Linked DNA regions of Sus scrofa. The protein of the gene in region 1 interacts with the protein of each later gene in a biochemical or structural test. Links are inferred from orthologs where the notes say so. Each region holds a gene or a part of one and is shown in the gene's direction. Other genes may lie near its edges.

Region 1 (4,870 bases):
ATGTGTAAGGTGGTTAGGAGGGGCCAGGATTCCTGCTCGCAAGCGGTTTAATGGCTCTTGAGGCTTTTGTTCTTTGACAGGAGGCTCTACCCATGACTCCCTCTTCCCACTGGACCTCATCCAGGAAGCTAGAACCAGCACGGAGTTGCCTAGGCCTCCAAGCCACCCCCCCACTCCCCAATCCCCTACCCCCACCCAGGGCATGTAAAGAACACAAATGGACAGACCATCCCCCAGTCCAGGCCTTGCCTACTCTTGGGACTTAAAGAACCAGAGGGGCCTGCATGAACCCCTAAAACTTACCTAACCAGGCCCTCCTCATTCCAAGGCCCTCTCAGATGTTGCCAAGGAAACAGACACAGCAGCCAGAGAGCCTTGACCCAGGTTTCCATGACAACCTAGAGGCCCACTAGGATCCATCCATCCCTGATGTCACCTGAGCCCTGAATGGGTACCCCTCACCCCCACCAGACTCATCACAAATAAACGTCAGACTGATAGCAAGTACCTGTCCCAAAGCGCCTCACAGCTTGCGTGCCCTCAATCGTCACACACCCTAAATGTGAGCAAGGCAGCTTGTGGCTGGGCACCCTGAGGCTGGGAGGGAGGCAAGACCTAGGAGCCTGAAGGCAGATTCAGGACTGGAAACCAAGCCTCCCCTCTGCGCCCCGGCACCCTCCCTAGGTCTGAGGAGGGACTGATTTCTCTGAGCAGTGGTAGCTAACCCACCCCTACCCACCTACTCTACAATGGTGCCCCTCCTGGATGGGAGTCTGAACCTCCAGATCCTGGAAGTGCCTAGAACAGCAGCCCCAGTCTAAGGCTAAAGGGAGGGAAGGAACATTGAGGACTCAGAGTGGCTGGAGCCAGACCTGACCCTGGTCCAGTTCCACCCCTATCCGCTTCTGCTGGCATCTGACACCTGTCTGCCAGGATCTCCCCAACTTTGGGCAACCTCCAGCCCAGGAGCTGAACGACCAGGGCCAGGTATTTTTAGCAGAGTTGCTGGCAGCTGCCTGGAGGGTATGGAGGTGGGGGAGGTGGTGCTGAGTTCATCCTTTTCCTTCTCAGGGCCTGTACTCCCTCCCCAGGATTCAAGCTTGCACCTTTACCTGCAGCACACTGCCAAGAGGGCCGCCCTTCCCCGCCCACCTCCTCCAAACAGCTCTCCAAGTGTCCTAGGGGTTCAGGTGACACTAACCCTTATCCTGAAGGGCAGGGCCATCAGGTAAAATCTTCAACTCCCAAGGGCAGGGAGGACAGTGGGAAGGACCTGGGGTGGAGGCTAGAAGCCCGGATTTAGGACCTCTAATGTCTTGCTCAGATATGGGCCAGCGGGGAATGGGCAGAGAAGGATGAAGTCTGTCCCACCTGTAACTGGTCTGCTTGCTCAGGCAACAGGCGGGAGGGAAAGGAGAATTCACTTTTAAAGGACGAGACCTCCTTCTTCCCTAGAGGGGTCTTGACGCACTTGGCTGGTCCCCCACCCCCTTGTCCCCACCCGTGAACCCCCCCAACTCCTCCGCACCATTCATACACTCCCCCTCCCTCTCGCTCCTTCCCGGCCCCCCTCCCCATACACACACTCGGGCTCTTTTGTCTGCGGAGTCGGGCGGGGCGTCGGTGGCGGAGTCTGCTGGGCGGGCGGGGCGGGGTCTGAGTGGGTGCGAGGCCCTGGGAGGAGGGTGGGGGTGGGGGATTCCCCTGGGGGGAGGGGGGCAGACACGTCACCCCCGCACCGCGTGGACGGGGGCGAGCGCGGGGGCGGGGGCGGGGGCGGGCAGAGGCTTAAATAGGCGTCTCTGGCGGCCAGACCCAGTGTGGACTGAGAAGGCGGCGGCGGCTGCGGCAGCGTCGAGGGTCCGCGCCTGGGGCTGTGAGTGGATTGTATCCGACCTACCTAGTCCTGACCGTGTCCGTGCGTGAGTGGGTGAGGGTCCTGGCAGGGCGGGGTGGGGGGGGTCGCACCGTCTGGGATGGATGAGTCAGGAGGAGGGGTCACAGGTCCTTGAACCCAATCATCTTGCTGAGCCGGGTCGGGTCCAGGCTCCATTTCCACCGCGGCTTACGCGGCCATCCCGATTCCCGTTGCCCAGACGGCGTCCGAGACGATGACTCTGAATGGCGGCGGCAGCGGAGCCGGCGGGAGCCGCGGCGGGGGCCGGGAGCGCGAGCGCCGTCGGGGCAGCACACCCTGGGGCCCGGCGCCCCCGCTGCACCGCCGAAGCATGCCGGTGGACGAGCGCGACCTGCAGGCGGCGCTGGCTCCGGGCGCTCTGGCAACGGCCGAGGCCGGGACCGCGGCCCAGGGTCCGAGGCTGGACTGGCCCGAGGGCTCCTCTGACTCGCTCAGCTCCGGAGGCAGCGATTCAGACGAGAGCGTTTACAAAGTGCTGCTGCTGGGGGCCCCTGGTGTCGGCAAGAGCGCTCTGGCGCGCATCTTCGGTGGAGTAGAGGATGGGCCTGAGGCGGAGGCTGCAGGTGAGGGGCTGGGACTCCAGGGGAGGGGAGGCCGGGTTAGGGCCGAGGGCTAAAGGACTGATCAGGATTGAAGCAGCAAATACCAAAGGGACTTTTTTTTTTTTTTGAGGGCCGCACTTGCGGCATGTGAAGTTCCCAGGCTAGGGGTCAAACAAATCGGAGCTACAACTGCTGGCCTACACCACAGCCACATCAACACAGGATCCGACCTATATCACAGCTCACAGCAATGCAGGATTCTTAGCCCACTGAGAGAGGCCAGGGATCGAACCCATCTCCTCAGGTTCATTATGGATGAGCCATGACAGGAACTCCCACCAAAGGGATTCTGAAGGCGCTTTGAGAAGCTGCCTCCACCTACCCATTTCAGATGGGGACAGTGGAAGAAGGTACCCCCCAGCCTTTAGTTAGGAAATGCCTCAAGTAGAAGGTTCAGAGCATAGGTGTGATTACTCTGTAGGATGGAAACAGAACATCCCTCCCTGCCAGGACCAGCAAGAACACAGCCAGAGGAGTTTCTAGGAGAGGAGTCCTAGGTAACCAAGGTCCCCAGGGGACACTTGTTCTAACTCAGGTCGTTGTGGTCAGAACCACCCGGGGTCCCAGGCAGCAGGAGGTCAGGCAACACAGGAGCGGCCCCCTGGGGACATTGCCACCTTGGAGAAGGGATATCCAGGGGCAAGGTCAGGCACACCATGCCCTCCACGGCTCCCCCCTACCATTCTTCAGCCCTGTCACTTCTGTTGTCACAGCAGTCATCAGTGGAGGGAAGGTTAGAGGAGCTCTGGGGAGGAGTTGGAGGTTGTGGCCAGAGCAGAAAGCCTGGTGGCATGGAGGAGGGGGAGCTTTTGGCAGCCAGCAGGTAACCTGACTACCGGTCTCTTGCCAGGGCACACGTATGATCGCTCCATCATGGTGGACGGAGAAGAGGCATCGCTCATGGTCTATGACATCTGGGAGCAGGTAGGACGCAGGCTGAGGGCCAGGGCAGGGTTGGGGTAGGGGCTACAGGGAGTGACAGCCTTGTAGCTGGGGCATGAGGACTATTGGGTATATTTGTGTGTGTCTGTATTTGCTAGGATGGGGGCCACTGGCTACCTGGCCACTGCATGGCCATGGGAGATGCATATGTCATCGTGTACTCAGTGACAGACAAGGACAGCTTTGAGAAGGCCTCAGAGCTGCGGGTCCAGTTGCGGCGGGCTCGACAGACAGACGACGTGCCCATCATCCTAGTGGGCAACAAGAGTGACCTGGTGCGCTCTCGTGAGGTCTCCTTGGATGGTGAGCAGAGAGTGGGTCGGAAAGGGAGGGAGATCCTGGCCGGGCTGTGGTCCCCTCGGCCTTAACTCAGCTCAAGGGCCTGGGGACCATTGCTGGCTAAAATGTTCAGGAAGAAAAGTCAGGGAGAGCGGAGCAGAGCTTCTGCCCTCCCATAGGTCTCCCAAAGGCCTGAGTGCTGGGGAAGAACCGATGTGCTAGGGCGGGGAGAGGCTGCTGGGCTGGGCTGGGCCACCTCAGGGCCCTTGTCTCCTGTCCCCTTTGGCCCTGGCCTGGCAGATGAGGGCTGAGGAGAATGCAGGGAATCAGGCCAGGGGGTCCGAGCCTGGATTCCAGGCCCGGACCAGCCTTGCCCCCGGGGAGGACCCACCCCTCTTGGACCCAGCATCCTCCTCTCTGGTGCTCAGACCTGAGTCCCTCAGAGGAACCTAGCAGTAATATTCCCTTTGTTCCACCCTCCTTCCTCATGATATAACATCAAGCCATGAAACAGTAAGCTGTCCCACAAAGTTATTTCCTGTGTTGGCTACTGCAGCACTCCATTTAAATATCAGACCCCAAATGTTTTTTGATAAATGAGTCTCCTTTGTGAGCCCCTTAAACCCAGGCACATTCTGCCATTTGGGTGACCCAAGCAACATCCAGGATCCCCCATGCAGGAGTTGAGGTCATTGTGTTTCTGGCGAGGACCCCCAGGTCCCCTTTCCCTTACCCACAGATGTGGTAGCTGCCATGGGGTGGCCAGGGTTTGAGTGGGCTTCTCATTCCCCCACCATTTGTTTACTGATGTGTACCTGTCCCCACCCACACAGAGGGCCGGGCCTGCGCCGTGGTCTTCGACTGCAAGTTTATCGAGACCTCGGCTGCGTTGCACCACAATGTCCAGGCACTGTTCGAGGGTGTCGTGCGTCAGATACGCCTGCGCAGGGACAGCAAAGAGGCCAACGCACGTCGGCAAGCGGGTACCCGGCGGCGAGAGAGCCTCGGCAAGAAGGCGAAGCGCTTTCTGGGTCGCATCGTCGCAAGAAATAGCCGCAAGATGGCCTTGCGTGCCAAGTCTAAATCCTGCCACGACCTCTCTGTGCTCTAGGCCCGGAGGCACTCGCTG
Region 2 (4,397 bases), on another chromosome or scaffold:
GCATAGTGACTTAGGTGTCTCCATGTGAGTGGGCGAGTTTATATTGTTTTTAAATTTATCCTGTCGTTTCATTTTATTTCTTTTTTGTTTGTTTGTTTGTTTGTTTTTTAGGTCCACACCTGAAGCATATGGAAATTCCCAGGCTAGGGGTCCAATTGGAGCCATAGCCACCACCCACAACACCACCAGATCCGAGCCACGTCTGCGACCTACGCCACAGGTCACAACAACACTGGATCCTTAACCCACTGAGTGAGGCCAGGGATCGAACCTGCATCCTCACAGATACTACTCAGATTTGTTACTAGTCAGATTCGTTACTGCTGAGCCACAGCGGGAACTCCTCATTGTATTTCTTTATACAGATACTCACTTTACACACAAGAAAATGCACAGGTTTTCAATGATCTGTCCCGTGAGTTTTGACAGCTACATGCACTTATGTAACCACTACCCCAAGAAATTCCCTCAAATACTTTTCTTGGCAAATCGCTGCCCCAACAAAGGCAAATGTCCTTTCTGGCTGTAAGCACCGTAAATGTGTTTGGTCCAAGTCTGGACTCAATATAAATGGAATCACACAGTTCACATTCTTCTGTCCTTTCTTCTCATGCCTTCCATAATCACTTTGAGATCCAGCCACACCATTGGGTATATTCATCGTTTGTCCTGGAGGTGGTGTTGGGTAGGATTCCATTGTATGAAGCTTTCGAAATCTGGGATTCCATTTCTCTGTGGATGGACATTTGGGCTGTTTCCATTTTAGAGCTATATGTGAATAAGGCTGCTCTGCTGATGCATTTTGGGTTTTTGTGTGTGTGTGGTTTTGTTTTTGTTTTTGCTTTTTGTGTTTTTCTGTTTAGGGCTGCACTCAAGGCATATGGAAGTTCCCAGGCTAGGAATCGAATCAGAGCTATAGCTGCCTGCCTGCCCCATAGCCACAGCAACGCCAGATCTGAGCCACATCTGCAACCTCCACCGCAGCTTGTGGCAACACCAGATCCTTAACCCAGTAAGTGAGGCCAGAGATTGAACTTACATCCTCATGGATACTAGTCAGGATCTTAACACGCTGAGCCATAATGGGAAATCCTGCTGATGGTCTTTTTTTTTTTTTTTTTTTTTTTTTCCGCTTTTTAGGGCCGCAACATATGGAGGGTCCCAGACGAGGGGTCAAATCAGAGCTATAGCTGCCACCTACACCATAGCCACAGCAACACAGGATCCGAGCCGGGTCTGCAACCTACACCACAGCTCACAGCAACGCCAGATCCTTAACCCACTGAACAAGGCCAGGGATTGAACCCGCAACTTCATGGTTCCTAATCAGATTCATTTCCCCTGTGCTGCGATGGGAACTCTTTTTTTTTTTTTTTTTTTTTTTTTTTTTTTTTTTTTTAATACTGATGCATTTTTGATAGCTAGGCTGGAGGCACCTCTCCAGGCTCACTTGCTGGACCATTTGCAGGAGGTCCTGCTGCTGTGTCCACCCTCACCCACCCATCCTCTCCCCTCTTGTCCCCATCAGTGAGCCCCATGCCCGCTTCTACGCGGCCCAGATTGTCCTGACCTTCGAGTACCTGCACTCGCTTGATCTCATCTACCGGGACCTGAAGCCGGAGAACCTTCTCATCGACCAGCAGGGCTACATTCAGGTGCCCACTGGGCCAGGGGAGGGGCAGCCCCAGGTGACTGTGGCGTGAATCCTCCCTGCCTCCCCACCAACTGCCTGTTCTTGTGCCCACAGGTGACAGACTTCGGTTTTGCCAAACGTGTGAAAGGCCGCACCTGGACTTTGTGTGGGACACCCGAGTACCTGGCCCCTGAGATCATCCTGAGTAAAGTAGGCGCTTCCCTACCCCTCCCACCACCCTGAGACCGGCTCCGCCAGCGCCCCCGCTTCACCCTTCTCCCCTCACCTGCACACCCCCCTCACTCCAGGGCTACAACAAAGCTGTGGACTGGTGGGCCCTGGGGGTTCTCATCTATGAGATGGCCGCTGGCTACCCGCCCTTCTTCGCTGACCAGCCCATCCAGATCTACGAGAAGATTGTCTCCGGGAAGGTGAGGCCTGGATTCAGGGGCTTGGCCCCCAGACAGACCCCTTGCCCACCCATCCTGCTCTCCATGGAGCCCTATGCATTGTCACAACAATCTAGAGGTTCATTAAGCCCGGCCAGGGGGTGATACCAGGCACACCACTTGCCACACTAACTAAAGCCACCACTTCACACAGCCTTGGTGGCTGATTCTAGGACCCACAGTGCCAAAATCCCACAGGTATCCAAAACCCTCAGCCTCACCCAAACTCCTGCCTGGCTCAACATGAGGCTCTTCTCGCCTCTAGTCTAGTCTGGTCGTCCTTAGGGTGAGTTTTCACAAACTTCTCAGCAGAAAATCGAGTACAGAAGTTCCTGTCATGGCTCAGCAGTTAATGAACCTGACTAGTATCCATGAGGATGCAGGTTGGATCCCTGGCCTCGCTCAGTGGGTTAAGGATCTGGCATTGCTCTGAGCTTTGGTGTAGGTCCACATGTGGCTCAGATCCAATGTTGCTGTGGCATAGGCCAGCAGTGTAGCTCCAATTCAGCCCCTAGCCTGGGAACTAGCATATGCCATAAGTGCAGTCCTAAAAAGACACACACAAAAAAAGGCAAGTACATTCAGTTCCCAGGTGCTATCCCACCCCCCCACCTCCTTTCCCAAATACAGACTTTTTCGGAGCACATGGGTGAGGGATGGCACAACTGTTAGAGCCCAGGATGCATTAAGTGCCAGCTGCCCCCATGCACCTCCTGGGTTCGTCGTACCCCAGCACTCCGAGGGAGTGAGGAAGCTGAGGTGCAGAGAGCAGACATGTCTGGTTTGAGATCACATGGCAGCAGCAGCTGGAGAGAGGCAGAGGAACCCTACCTCTGCCCTCTGCTTGCCCACCTCACCTTCACCAGAAGGACCAGCCATCCCTTCATCTGGCCCAGGAAATGGAGTAGCTGGCAGCTCAGCCTGGGCGGGTTGGCCTGACTGTTAAGTTCCAGCTTTGCCATTCATCAGCTGTGAAACCCCAGGCCAATGGCTTTGCTTCTCTGAGTCTCATCTTAATCATCTCAGAACTGGAGAACTAGCCATGGGCCTCTCAGGTTGAGAGAATCCCCATCTGTCAAGTAGGGTCACTGAAAAAGGGAATGATGAGGTGTCTGCCATCAGGCAGAATAGAAGTTACCAAGAAAATGGCCCAGAGTAGGGGGGGAATAAAAAAAAAAAAGCCATAGAAAGTTTCAATGGGGGAGAGGAGAAGCTGAGCACAACTCCTTTCTTTGTAACGTTTTATGGTTCCCACGCACCCTCAGCAGGATTATCTCCCTCATGCAACCCTGGGATATCTGCCCCATGCCAAAGAGGCAGGCACAGGCCCAGAGAGGTTAAGGGCCGTAGCCAAGGTCACACAGCATATAAGAGGCAGAGCAATACTGGAAGTTGGTTCTTGTGGCCGTAAATTCAGTGATTGCTTGCATACAAGGTTAGAGGCACAAAGCATTTGGGGAAAGTTTCTGGAAGAGTTGAACTGGGCCTTAAGGAATGGAAGAGCCTTAGCTATGCAGAGAGAGAGAGAAATAGAAAAATAATTATTTCTGGAGTTCCTGTCGTGGCGCAGCAGAAACAAATCTGACTAGGAACCATGTGGTTGCGGGTTCAATCCCTGGCCTTGTTCAGTGGGTTAAGGATCTGGCATTGACGTGAGCTGTGGTGTAGGTGGCAGACGCGGTACCGATCCAGCATTGCTGTGGCTGTGGCATAGGCTGGCAGCTGTAGCTCCAATTAGACCCCTAGCCTGGGAACGTCCATATGCCGCAGGTGTGGCCCTAAAAAAAAAAGAAAGAAAGAAAGAAAAATAATTATTTCTTTCAGAATCATGAATATTTCAGAAGTCCCCAGACCCCAGCAGAGCTGCCTTAGGAAGCACTGGCTGAGAATGCAAGTTCTGGAGTCCAGCAGATCCAAGATGGACCACCTTGTCTTGTTCCTCTGTGTGACCTTGGGCAAGCTGTTTACTCCATCCAAGCCTTAGTTTACTCTTCTCTGAAATGGAAACCTCCTGCTGTGGCTCAGTGGGTTAGGATCCCAACATAGTGTCCATGAGGATGCAGGTTAAATCCCCGGCCTTGCTCAGGTTGAGGATCTGGTGTTGCTGTGAGCTGCTGTGTAGGTCGCAGATGCAGCTCGGATCCAGTGTTGCTGTGGCGATGGTTGTGGCCTAGGCCAGCAGCTGCAGCTCCCAATTTTTTTTTCTTTTTAGGGCCACACCTGCAGCATATGGAAATACCCAGCTAGCACTGAATCAGAACTGGAGCTGCAGCTGCCAGCCTATGCCACGGTCATAGCAACACCAGAACTGAGCC
Region 3 (4,397 bases), on another chromosome or scaffold:
AGGTGGTAACTGGAGTGCTAGACCTGGGGTCAGCTCCATGGCTGTGTCACCCTGGGCAAGGGGTGCTGGATGTGCAGCCCCCCTCTCAGGGCTGCTGCTTCAGGAGAGAGCCTGTGGGGCTGCCAGGATGGGGCAGGGCTGGGATGGCTGCGGAAGAGAGGAGTAGCATTTCCAAGTTTTCTCTCTGTTAATCTCTGTCCCCATCTCCTCTCTTGCAGTACGCCTCCATGACAGTATTTCTGAAGAAGGGTTTCACTACCTCGTGTTTGACCTGTAAGTGCCGCTTTTTGAGGGTGTGGGGGCCTTTCCCTCCAGCTGGCTCAAGAGGAAGGCTTGGAAAAAAGGCCAAAACTGGGTCTTCAGCCTCTGCCGAGGGTCCCTCTCCTTTGCCCGAGGAGAGGAGTTTGATTTTGAACTTCCTCTGGTAATGGGCAGGTTGCCCAGGGTCTCATTGCTCACTCAGAATCTCCCCAGGGCTCTGAACCCCGGGTTGGCATTGCTCTTGCATTTCCGTTCAGCAGCACACCTTGTGCAGTTGCTTTTTTCTTGTTTCTTGGTGTGTTGTCCTTAGTAGAGAAATAGAATGTATTAGCTCTTTGCATGACCGTAAAAATTCGGGAAAATGAAGGTACCTTTTTTTAGTTGTAAACTGGGCTCCCATTGGTCTCTCCTCCACTTTGGTTGTGGTTTAATATCTTAAAGGTGGCTCTTCACCTCCTGGAAATGCCCCTCCGGTATTTTCAGGGTTGGGTCTCTGTGTCCTTGGTCTCATTATTCTTCAGCTTCAGTAGTAGGTCTGTCCTTCTTGGGCAGCTGTATCTTAGCATTCATACCGGTCTCAAAAAAAATGATGACTGTTTGAGTGGGTCGATTATTTTCTCGTAGATGCCTGTGTATTCATCTCTATCAGAGTGTCAACTAATCTATAGGTTACAGGAACAGAAAAGTGCGAGAGAAAGGGTGGATCCATGTTGTCCCAAGGAGAAGCTCTACATCATTGAGGCTGGAGTATGTTCTGGGCTCTCAGATGAAATGCATGTGGTGTTGAGAGTTCTCTGAAAGCTGTTCTAGAGGATGTCCTGTTACCTGTTGGATGCTGGGTTCGGCCACCTGACCTGCCTCCTCTAACCCTCTTTGTTGGTTGCAGTGTTACTGGCGGGGAGCTGTTTGAAGACATTGTGGCCAGAGAGTACTACAGTGAAGCTGATGCCAGGTGAGAAGAGGGGCTTGTGGTTTAAGTGGCAACTTGACTACCTCAAGGGACCAGGCATTGTGCCTATTTGAATAGTCTTCAGGGAGATTAGAAGGGCTCTTATCTGGACAAAGACTGTGTAGAGCTGGACTCAGGCTCCGTTCTGTGGGCAATATTAGAAATTAAAATGCAGCATTCCCAGACTGATTTTTTTACAAAGCTCTTACAGATCTCCTTTACCCTCGCACACCAGAAATACCTTTTCTCTGCACCAGTGCATACTCATAAGTATGCCCAAGGGCCCTCCCTAGCCCCACTTCTCTCTTTGGACAAACCATGTCTCGAAGGAGTAGAAACATCTGGGTTAATAATCCAACCAGGAACCTTTCTGGGAGATTTCAGCCTGTATCACCTTGTGTCTTGACCACCATGACCAGCCTCCATTCGGGGCCTCTCAGGCTGGAGGACCATTCCTTGGCCACACCCCTCAGCCCCCAGTCCTCCAGGAGGCCCTGGCAGCTCCTTCATGTGACACAGCAGAATTCCTCCCACTCCACAGCTCTTGGGCGCTTGTTTGGGCTGCCTTTCCCTCCTCGGCTCCTCCCCCGGGCCCGAGTTTTCTCCAAGGGTGATGTCCTTACAACCTGATCTTGGTCTCTCCTGCCTGCAGCTTCTCAGGCAGATGTGGCAGCTCTGGCTGCTCGCAGGGTGGGGGAGCACAGCTTCCTCACAGATTTCTCAACCCTGAGAGGCCAATGTTTGCTGATCAACTTCAGATGCTTCAGCCTCGGGAAAAATTCTCAAGTGGGAGATGAATTCCAGTGCCAGCAGGGGAGGACCAGGCTCTGGGGCGGGAAGAGGCGGTGATAGTGCAGGGAGCCTGGCGGGGAGGAGGGAGAGCCGGGGCGGGTGACTGTACCAGTGGGCTTGGCCTGGCTCTGCTGGGACAGTTCGCACTTTTGCCATTTTTGGCCAGAAGGCTCTCCCTGCTAGCTTGGCTCTGTTCTAATTATACATTTCTGTGGAGACTCGCCTCTTCAGCTCAGTCTTAAAGTCTCTTTGCCCTGTTCCTGGGCCATGTCCTATAGAGAGGCCCAAACCTCAGCCTTTAGGAGCCCAGCAAGACCTCTTGGCTCTTGTGGAAGCCCTAGCATCAGATTTTAGAGAGAAGGAGTAATAAGTCCAGGTCACCAGCCCAGCACCCACTCCACACACTTGGTAGAACCGGCTCTGTTCCTCAGGCCGAGGCTCCTCAGTCTCAGCACTACTTACACTTGGGGCCAGATAAATTTTTGTTGTGAGTGTCCCACCTGTGCATTGTAGGTTTAGAAGCATCCCTGGCCTCTACCTGCTTGATACCGGTTGCACCCTTCCTCTCAGTAGTGATAACCAGCAGTGTCTCCAGGCATTACCCGAATTGCCCTGGGGGCCAGAATTGTCCCCTAGTTCTCACTAGTATTCTAGACTGCCAGCACACCCCTCCAGGAGTTTGCCTGCAAGTGTGACAGGATGGTTTGGAAGGTGGACAGCCTGATTGAAGAATCAGCAGCTAGGGAGTTCCCGTTGTGGCTCAGTGGAAATGAATCTGACTAGCATCCATGAGGATGCAGGTTCGCTCCCTGGCCTCGCTCAGTGGGTTAAGGATCTGGCATTGCCGTGAGCTGTGGTGTAGGTTGCAGATGCAGCCCGGATCCTGCGTGGCTGTGGCTTTGGCATAGGCCGGCAGCTACAGCTCCAATTTGACCCCTAGCCTGGAAACTTCCATATGCTGTGGGCGTAGCCCTAAAAAGACCAAAAAAAAAAAAAAAAGGAAGAATCAGCAGCTAAATGTGACTTTAGGTTAATTTATCCTTTTGTTTGCAAAATTGTTATCAGAAATGTTCCTCAGGTGCCTGTTGGAACCCCCTTAAGTACATTGACTATTGATAGGACCTGTGTCCTCATTTTATCTCCCCTGCTGGATGGTAAGCTTTAGGCCAGACACTGGGTCATTTTTATAGCTGATGTCCCCAGCACAAAGCCTATAGGTACCTGATAAATGCTTAAATAAATGATTTTTATACCCACCCCCAAAACAATTAGGCTTAGTTGGACTGTCCTTCCTAAGGTGCTACCACAGGCCTCTTCTCTAAGAACAGAGAAGGTCAAAGAGAAAGAAGGAAGGGGTTGGATGGTCTCTTTCTCAGTAGCCTGAGGTGTCCCCCAGTTTCTTGGAAACAAATGATATGTTGGGCCTTTACATTCTAAGGAGGCATGCTGAACCCTCTTCTAGGCTATCCACTGCTATTATCTAGTAGGAGACCCTGGACAAACCACTTAATCAGCTTGGGCCTTGGTTTCTTCTTCTGTAAAATAGTTTGAACAGATGGTATCCAAAGTCCAAGGTTCTAGTTTCTCATTCAGTGATTCTCTGTGAATCTGTGACCTAGAGTTCAGTGCTTTGGTCCACAGCATGTGGTCAAGGATGGTTTCACCTTGCACTGTCCTTTCCTCTTCTTTTCCAGCCACTGTATACATCAGATTCTGGAGAGTGTTAACCACATCCACCAGCATGACATCGTCCACCGGGACCTGAAGGTACGACCCAGGTTCCCTTTTGCCTCTTGCTTGTGAAGCCTTGGCGCCACCTGGTGCCAGGCGGTAGTATTGCCGGGGCCCAAATTAGGCTCCCTATGGGCTGCGGCGTGGGTGCCTCACAGGGTTCTCTCTCTTCCTTATACAGCCTGAGAACCTGCTGCTGGCGAGTAAATGCAAGGGTGCCGCCGTCAAGCTAGCTGATTTTGGCCTAGCCATCGAAGTACAGGGAGAGCAACAGGCTTGGTTTGGTAAGAGTGACCCTGTCTTCCTGGAATGCGGCCCCCGCCCTTCCTCCTCTTCCTGATCTGCCTTCCTCTTTGAGAACTAGAAGCCAGACCCTTAATGGTCCTGGCCTCCCCAGAGACTGGAGGAGGGGAGGGTGCAGAGCCCCCCCTGGCCCTACGTGACTCAGTACAGTGAATCTAGCTGCTGTCAGCACTGCGTTCTTGCTGCCTCTGGGGAGGATGGGAGTTGCTGGTAGACACACGGAGACTTGCCCTCTGATTTAGATTCTGGGCACTGCAAGAAGCCCGGCCTGTCATCTCCTGCTACCCACAGACCGAGAGCTTATGTAGCAAAAGCAGCAGAAGTGAGAAAGGACTTGGGGGAAATCACTGACGTGGATTTA

Evidence for each region.
Region 2: of the proteins of RRAD (region 1) and PRKACA, one has a biochemical effect on the other in vitro, tested with the Homo sapiens proteins (2 studies listed by BioGRID). The link is inferred for Sus scrofa from reciprocal best matches to the Homo sapiens genes RRAD and PRKACA.
Region 3: of the proteins of RRAD (region 1) and CAMK2G, one has a biochemical effect on the other in vitro, tested with the Homo sapiens proteins (2 studies listed by BioGRID, with this or other methods). The link is inferred for Sus scrofa from reciprocal best matches to the Homo sapiens genes RRAD and CAMK2G.

Annotation. Positions count from the first base shown.
Region 1 is NC_010448.4:27,602,031-27,606,900, reverse strand, and holds the start of RRAD (GTP-binding protein RAD), read left to right. Parts: upstream 1-1,773; 5' UTR 1,774-1,876; exon of another isoform or gene 1,877-1,930; intron 1,931-2,096; 5' UTR 2,097-2,111; coding exon 2,112-2,481; intron 2,482-3,370; coding exon 3,371-3,444; intron 3,445-3,560; coding exon 3,561-3,765; intron 3,766-4,574; coding exon 4,575-4,852; 3' UTR 4,853-4,870. UniProt on the Homo sapiens protein: May regulate basal voltage-dependent L-type Ca(2+) currents and be required for beta-adrenergic augmentation of Ca(2+) influx in cardiomyocytes, thereby regulating increases in heart rate and contractile force.
Region 2 is NC_010444.4:65,088,008-65,092,404, forward strand, and holds part of PRKACA (cAMP-dependent protein kinase catalytic subunit alpha), read left to right. Parts: intron 1-1,528; coding exon 1,529-1,655; intron 1,656-1,747; coding exon 1,748-1,843; intron 1,844-1,941; coding exon 1,942-2,064; intron 2,065-4,397.
Region 3 is NC_010456.5:76,568,016-76,572,412, reverse strand, and holds part of CAMK2G (calcium/calmodulin-dependent protein kinase type II subunit gamma), read left to right. Parts: intron 1-218; coding exon 219-273; intron 274-1,147; coding exon 1,148-1,213; intron 1,214-3,696; coding exon 3,697-3,769; intron 3,770-3,914; coding exon 3,915-4,017; intron 4,018-4,397.